Linked DNA regions of Nothobranchius furzeri. The protein of the gene in region 2 purifies or fractionates together with the protein of the main gene of each other region. This does not show direct contact. Links are inferred from orthologs where the notes say so. Each region holds a gene or a part of one and is shown on either strand. Other genes may lie near its edges.

Evidence for each region.
Region 1: the proteins of bbs7 (region 2) and bbs4 purify together in Homo sapiens (co-immunoprecipitation; 7 studies listed by BioGRID and IntAct, counting the BioPlex papers as one, with this or other methods). This does not show direct contact. The link is inferred for Nothobranchius furzeri from reciprocal best matches to the Homo sapiens genes BBS7 and BBS4.

What each region holds. Positions count from the first base shown.
Region 1 is NC_091749.1:45,779,150-45,782,970, reverse strand, and holds part of bbs4 (Bardet-Biedl syndrome 4 protein), read right to left. Parts: intron 2,764-3,821; coding exon 2,709-2,763; intron 2,620-2,708; coding exon 2,551-2,619; intron 2,380-2,550; coding exon 2,227-2,379; intron 1-2,226.
Region 2 is NC_091741.1:74,284,236-74,288,840, forward strand, and holds the start of bbs7 (Bardet-Biedl syndrome 7 protein), read left to right. Parts: upstream 1-1,585; 5' UTR 1,586-2,430; coding exon 2,431-2,466; exon of another isoform or gene 2,467-2,510; intron 2,511-2,605; coding exon 2,606-2,671; intron 2,672-2,837; coding exon 2,838-2,900; intron 2,901-2,983; coding exon 2,984-3,159; intron 3,160-3,246; coding exon 3,247-3,433; intron 3,434-3,527; coding exon 3,528-3,600; intron 3,601-3,686; coding exon 3,687-3,794; intron 3,795-4,605.

The DNA.
Region 1 (3,821 bases), on a different chromosome or scaffold from region 2:
CATCTCAGGAACGTTGCTAAGCTAAGTCCCATTCTGTCCATTATCCACACCTTCATCTCCTCACGCTTACACTACTGTAACTCTCTTTTCACGTGTCTGAGCAAAACCTCCCTGAACTGTCTACAGGTGGTTCAGAATGCCTGTGCTCGGCTTCTGACCAAAACCTCCAAACACACCCACATCACCCCGCTTCTCCTCCAGCTTCACTGGCTGCCAGTCAACTTCAGGGTTCATTTCAAGACCCTGGTTCTGGTCTACAGGGCCTTACATGGACAACCCCCCCCCCCCCCCCCCCCCCCCCCCCCCCAACCTGAGATCAGTGAATTCAGTGGTCTCCTTTTGAAAGCAGCTGAAAACTCACCTGTTCAGGCTGGTTTTGGTGTGACCTTCATCATCCTCTCCTTGTGCTGTCCCCCATCCTATTCCACCTTCCTCAGGATCCACTGATTTCTCTTTCCTATTCACTCTCTCTCTTTCTTTACATTTTAAATCACAACTGTCTATTTTTTGCTCATTTTAAATATATTTTAATTCATTTTCTAAATTATTTTTTATATTTTACATTTTTTGTTTTTGTGAAGTGCCTCGTGATTTTTATCTTGAGAGGCGCTATAGAAAAGATCTTCTTCTTCTATTGGGTGTCTCCTTTGCTTCCTTTTATTTTTATGGACTGTTTCTTTTATACTCTTTTTTATGCCTTACCCCAATTTTAATTGTTTAGTTTTTATTTTTATGTTATGTATCCACACTACGTACGACATGCCGCTTTTCTTAAAGTGATGGTGTGTATTTATCCTGGCGATAGGGGGCAGTACATACCTAAATCATTTCAAGCAAACAGTATTTTTATGTTTGAGTAAGACCTTACCAACGGATGACCATTAGGGTCAAAATTCCCCAAGAGCACTATTTTTGAACAAGTTCTTGGTCAGATCATTCAACCTCCAGCAAAACGACAAGTACAGCATACTCCCTTTCATCACTGACAACAAGCGAAGAGGTAAATGTATTTATTTATTTAACTTATGTTTTTAGAGGATAAAACCCTAAATGTGTAAAACAACAACAACATCTATGAATGGTAAAAGTTCTGTCACTGTTACAAGTCAGTAAATGCATTTTGATCTCACGGGCTCCCGTAGAAGGAAACGTGGCATCTAATATGGTGTCACCCAGAGACTTAGACCCGCTGCCACGTATTTTAGACCTGATTTTTATGGTTATGTTACGAAGCCACCAATATTTTTCAACAACTAGGCATCATTTAATTTATCATCATTTAACAACATTTGGATTTTTTCCAGAGATTAGCAGTAAAAACTACACATTGTCTCTTTAATGCTCTGGTTTTAGTATTTTAATTTTATCAACATTTTTTTTACTCATTGTCCATGAGGGGCTTTTAAATGTAGTATTTTGCCTGTTCTGCTGCCCTTTCCTTGTCAGGATCTTTAGTCAGCTGACATGCTGTGGTTAAATGTTAAAAGAATCAACACTCTTAAAATTTAGAGACATTGTAGAATTGCAGACAGCACAAATATTATTTCTTGCAAGAAACAAACTATTACTAGAAAACATCCAAAAATGATTCATTGAGAAGGAAGGGGGTTATAAATTACGGGAACTATCTCATTTCAGAATTCCTTTTGCACGTACAACAAGTAAAACCTTTTGTATTTCGGTATGTGAAGCAAGACTGTGGAAAAGGATGGAGGGGACACTAAGGAAATGTGTTACTTTGATTCGGTTTAAAAAAAAATACAAAAACAATATTTATACCAGGTACAGAATTGAGGAGGGTATTTCAGTTTGACAGTCTGTGTTTAAATTATTTACTATTATTATATTAACAAGGACATTATTATAATATAATAAAAAGGACAGGCATAAATATAAGCGTTTTGCTTCTGCCTGAGCCTTTTCAGTCACTTTAAATGTAATGTTTTATGATTATATTATGTTTTGTTGTATTTCTGACTGAATAAATCGAAAGAAAAAAAGTGCTTTACAAAGAAATATGGGATGGTATGGTATCTTCTTGGTGAAGTAGGGTAATTTTTTAACTAGCTTGATTTAAATCTACCTCATATGGGTATTTTTTAAACCAATTTCGTAACGCTACATTCTACACTAAGCACATCATACTGAGGGGCCCTAATCTGTATGATGCATGTCATCAGTTTCTGTTTCTTCAACCTTGAAAAACACAAAAACAGAATTACTCACAGCTACATATTTCTTCTTTCCAAAGAAGCACATGCCAATGTTGTTCCAGAGCGGGGGGCTCTCAGGCACAGCACAAGCTGCCACTCGGTACTTGTTCATGGCCACATCAAAGTCACCGTGGGTTTGCATCATGCAGCCTGCAGCCAGGATGGCCTGGGAATAAAAACAGTGATTAGAGGAAGATGTAACCTTTGAAACAGCACATGATGAAAGTCAAGAAGACTAACATCTGATGGTGAAGGACCTTCTGCTTTGACTGAACAGCCTTCAAACCTTCAGGTGTTGAGTAGAAAACTAAGTTTATGCTGAAGTGTAATGTCATACCTTGTAATTGTTTGGGTCAAAAGTGAGGGCATTCCCGAGGTGCTCAAAGGCTTTTTGGTATTTACCAAGCTAAAAAAAATAACCATTTTTATTAATAGTATTATTTTACATGAGCATACATACATACATACATTAAGGCTACAAACAAATATACCAACCTGTAAATAAAGAAGGCCAAGTGTGGTCAGAAGTTCAGTGTTCTCTGGAGAATACCTGAACAGAGACAGAGAGAAGCTAAATGAAAAGGGTCACTTTTTCAATAACTGAAGCCAGCCACTATGGCTGACAGTCAGATTATTCCAACAGGCTTGTTTTCAGAATGATTACAGAGTATTAATGATGGCCTGTGAGCCCTAAAGGAAAACAGCAAAGAGGAGGCAGACTGACACTGAAATAAGACTCAGCAGTAAGTCTCATTAAAGCGACGCAGGTATTGGGGCGTTTGATTAATTCATTTGCCCCAATAGGAGGCAGCCATAATGAGCTCTGTTACAGACACTGATGTGGTTTACTTATTTACACCATGGCCTCATGTTTAAATATTCAGTAAAGTGGAAATGAGACAAAATTTAAAAGGACCTTGGGTAAAAACGAGGCAAGGGTGGAGCTTCGAGCTAAACCGAATGTTTGCTGGAGGGTGCTTCAGAGACTGAACATCATCAGACACATCAAGCTGGAACAACTTAAAAATACCAAACCGTCTCAGAATGAGTGTTTCAAAGCAGTCCTACTTAATGATTTGGCTCATGGCCATAAAAAACAGACACTTTCCTTGTACCAGTTTCAGTTCCTGAAACTAAATAACTGATTGGTTTAGAATATTTATGGAGCTAATCAGCGGTGGTCCAGAATGACAGTTTTTAAGGGACAGTTTAGATCTTGTCTGGTGGGGTTTTGAAACGTTGTAAACAAATAATCTCCTAATATACTTTCTGCTTCAAACAGCCTCAGTTTGGAGAAACAGATCAGTTTTGATTGAACAGAGGAATTTGAGGCTACTTGTATGGTACGTGCACATCTGGGTCCAGCCCTGGTAATTTAATTGTGTTCACACCTGGGTAATCTGTGTGTTTCCTGTGCTCAGTTGACCCTTTTTTTTTAACCTGCTCTCCGGCGGTCCGCCTTGTGTGCAGCCGACCCAGCACACCGACTGCAGACTGGTTGGTTGGCTGAAGTTCACGCCAAACTATAGAGGGAGCTTCTGATTGGCAGGTAGAGTGAGCCAGTGGAGGCTTCCAGCATACACGATGCATTATCAGTCTGCCCGCGGT
Region 2 (4,605 bases):
CACACCTGATTTCAATCAGCAGGTGAATAACAGGCTTCTGCAGAGCTTGATGAGCTGCTGAGCAGGTGATTCAAGTACATTGGATTAGGGAAACAACTAAAACATTCTGTATACCGGCCCTTGGGGAAGGGAGTCTGGGATCACTGACCTAAAGCATGCCATTCCCTTTGAATGTATTAAATATAGTTTCTCTGTTTTAAAGCAAATTATATTTAACTTTTTTCATGTGTTTAGTGTTCAACACATTTTCCTCCCACCCTTTCTGCTTAAGACCACATTTTTATGACAAAGATCAAGTTCTCTCTTAATAAAGTAGTAAAATTGATTACTTGTCACTTTAGTGGTTGACTGTTGCCTCAGAATCAACAAGTGTAGCTTTAATAAGCTACAATTCAGATTCAGATTAGTCATTCAATCTGTGCAGATGCATTGCAGAACAAAATTACAATAAAATAAAAACAGGCTAGAATATAGACATGGGAAAAAATGGAACTGTGGCAAATGTATAGAAGATTGCACTTTTTAAGAAGAGGTACATGGTGGTCGTATAAAAAAGTAACATAGACTAATGCATGTATACATTTGTATTTAAGATTTCTGCTAACAACCAGTGAGTTTTTATGAGGGGCTGTCAAGGCCATTTATTCTGTTGCACATTCTCACACAGATGCATTCTTGACACACACAAACTGAATGCCATATACCTGTGTGTGTGTGTGTGTGTGTGTGTGCGTGTGCGTGTGAGTGTGCGTGCGTGCTCTGTCTTCTCGATCCCCAGTGAGTCGTGGTGGATGGCTGCTTATACTGAGCCAGGATCCTCTGGAGGTTTCTTCCTGTTAAAAGGGAGTTTTCCTCTCCACAGTCGCTAAATGCTTGCTTAGTATGAGGATTGCTGTAAAGATACTGACACCAGTCAGTGACTTGATGCAATTAGCTGGGTTCCTTATATAGGGAACTTTACTGATTGGCTTAATGAACTGACCTTTATTGGATTGTTTACTTTGTGTGGTACCTTGAGACGACTCTTGTGATTTGGCGCTATATAAATAAACTGAACTGAATTGAATTTTTTATACTGCCCCGCCAAAAAACAGTCACCTGAATATACTGAATGACCAGGTTATTCCATCTTCCCTGATGGCATGGGTATATTCCAAGATGACAGTGCCAAGATTCTTCAAGACGTCAGTTTCACACATGGATTAGCCATAAAGTTATTGGAATACAGCAACATTGGTTAGGGTTGGAGTATGGGTTAACCGTAGCAGTAACAAAAATGAATGGAAGTCAATGAAGGGTCCTCACAAGTATAGATATACCAATGTGTGTGTGATTGATTAAATGATTGAAACGTTTATTTGAACGTAAGACAATAAATTTCAAATCAATGAACATAGTAAAAAAATGAAAAGATATACCAATTTTTTTAAAAGTCTTAGCCCAAAGGGAGTATTCAATCCCACCCCCTTGCCACACACTACAAATCTACTTTAAATAAGCCATGTACATTTTTAATCTACATCTCAGGATTACATACATCTACAGTAATATAACTTCCAATAAGAACATGTTGTATGAGTATTTCTGTAATAACAGCAGAGATGATAGACAATTATACCAATGACAATATTATAGTTTCCAGAAAATAATAGGTCGACTCAATGGCTCAGAATTTCATGTATGTTGAATATCATATAATGTGTGAGTATGTGTGTGTGTGTGTGTGCGCGCGCGCGCGCGTGTGTGTGTGAGAGAGAGAGGAATGTATGGATAAGAACGTGTGTGTATGTGAGGAAAATTGATTTATGGCCGAGGGACCCTCCGTTTTGAGCATTGAACCCCCAATTTTTACATTAGTTTATCTTAAGATATCTTATTAGCGTTATGACTGGGTATACTATATACAAAAAGTATTTATCTTGCTGACGTATCTAAGGTATCGAAGATCAGTGGTTAAAACCATGAATCTGCTTTTAAACCGCGAGGAAGCCAACCAATCAATTTGCAGCTTAAAACTCTGCTGGTTCGCTCTCATCCAATAGAATCGCATCGTGTTACAGGATGTACTGTTGCCATGGTGACTGCATTCTGCTGCAAGGCGTGTGTACAGTAGGCTTAATTTTAGCTTTCAACAGAATTCGAACTTTAGACCAGTTTCTGGTCTGTGTGATATCAATACTTGGACCTTGTTAAAGATGGCGAAGAGGACAGACAGCTGACCGGCGGATTAATCGTGTTAGCCAACGTTAGCACGTCGAGCTAATCTTCTTGCTGAAAATAATCCCATTCTCAAATGGCACCATTGTTCCAGAATTCCGCTTGATTTTCTTTTATCTGTATCGAGTTGTAAAAGGGCATAGTATCATTCTGAGGCCAGAACGCTCACCTGGAGTATTTTTCTTGTACTAAATAAATCCTTAAAGAAAGAAGATGGAGCTCCAACTCAACAGAGTTGATTATACTCAGGTAGGAAGCAGGAGCTGCTGAGGTCTGCGATACCTTTTTAGAAGGTGGTGTTTTCATTAGATGCATTTACTATCGAAGTTGGTTTGGTTATGATCTCTTAATTTTTAATGATCGGTGTTTAATCCTGCTCTGTGATTAGGTTGGTGTAACATCACAGAAAACCATGAGGTTACTTCCAGCGGTGGGGAAAAAAGCAACTCAGAAGGTACTGTTTACAATTCAGGACATTCGGAATAGTGTGAGGGTGGTGTTTAAGCAACGGGTATTAAACATATTCTAAACTCAGATCTTCTATTTATTGTCTATGTGTGAAATGTTGTTAAAATCCATGTGTAAATAGGTTTAATATGTGGGTGTTTATTGTGTTTCAGGTTGCTATAGCCGATCACGATGGTGTACTTACATGTTTTGGCATGAAGAAGGGGGAGGCTGTGGTGAGTTTAGAAGTCATTGCATAGCTGGTGTTAAAGTCAAAAGAAAGATTTCTGCTATAGTAACATCTGACTCTGTGTTTCAGTCTGTGTTTAAAACGCTTCCGGGCCCCAAAATAGCCAGGATGGACCTTGGAGGTGCCATAGGAACCCCCCAGGAAAAGATCTTTGTCTGCTCTGGTTCTCAGGTTCGAGGATTCACCAAGAAAGGCAAACAATTCCTCACCTTTGAGGCCAACCTCACTGAGAACATTAATGCCATGTAGGAATAATTTCTTATCAGTTTGTTTGATTGCATTGTTTTGCACCGTGTGACCTCCACTGAGTGATGCTGTAATGTTGTTTTCAGGCATGTCTCAGGAGCTGATCTGTTTGTATGTGCAAGTTACATCTACAACCACTACTGTGACTGCAAGGATCAAGACTACTTTCTCTCTGGAGACAAAATAAATGATATCATATGTTTGTCCTCAGAAAAACTCTTGCGTCTCACCCCAGTCTTGGCATGCCAGGATCGAATTCTCAGAGTTTTGCAGGTAAATTGAAATCACATTTTTTGTTTGAACTTTGTTCAACTGTTCATCTTCAAACACCCAGATATGACAGTGATCTATTTAAAACTGGTCATAGGGATCTGAGCTTGCTTATGACATTGAAATTCCTGGCCCGCCATCTGTACTGGAACTCTACAACAAAGATGGAGGCAAGTCGGTTTGTGCACTCTAAAGATAAACTTTAAACTGTTTAGTTTTGAAGAAATTAAATATACATATTTTTCTTCCCCTTTAGGTGATGAAATCCTTTATGGAACCACAGATGGGAAAATTGGACTGGTTCAAATTGGTGACCACTCAGCTGGGATCAAATGGGAGATTGACAATAACAAAAGGAAAGGAGGTGCAGCTTTTTTATGGTTGTATATTTTAGCCACTAACCCATCCATCCATTTTCTGTTTATGTTTATGTTTATGACATATTTCCAGTGCAATAAATAAACAAACATTTTCGGCTGCTTATCTGGGGTCAGGTCGCGGGAGCAGTAGCCTAAGCAAGGAGGCCCAAACTTTCCTCTCCCCAGCCACTTGAGCCTGCTCCTCCGTGGGAATCCTAAGGCGTTCCCTGGCCAGCCGAGATACATTATCCCTCTAGCGGGTCTTCTTTCAGGTCTTCTCCCAGTTGGACGTGCCCGGAAAACCTCACCAGGGAGGTGTCCAGGAAGCATCCTAAATAGATGTCCGAGTCATCTCAACTGGCTCCTCTCAACGTGGAGGAGCAGTGGGTCTACTCTGAGCCCCTCCCGGATGACAGAGCTTCTCATCCTCTTTAAGGGAGACCCCAGACACCCTGCGGAGAAAAATAATTTCGGCCGCTTGTATCCGCAATCTTGTTCTTTCGGTCACTACCCAAAGCTCGTGACCATAGGTGAGGGTAGGAACGTAGATTGACCGTTAAATCAAAAGCTTTGCCTTCCAGCTCAGCTATCTTTTCATCACGTTAGATCAGTACAACTGCAGACGCAGCACAAATCCGTCTGTCAGTCTCGTGCTCCATCGTTCCCTCACTCGTGATCAAGACCCAAGATACTTAAACTCCTCCATTTGGGGCAGGATCTCATCCCTGATCTGGAAAAGGAATTGTACCCTTTTCTGACTCAAGACCATGGTTTCAGATTTAGAGGAGCTGATTCTCATCCCATCTGCTTCACACT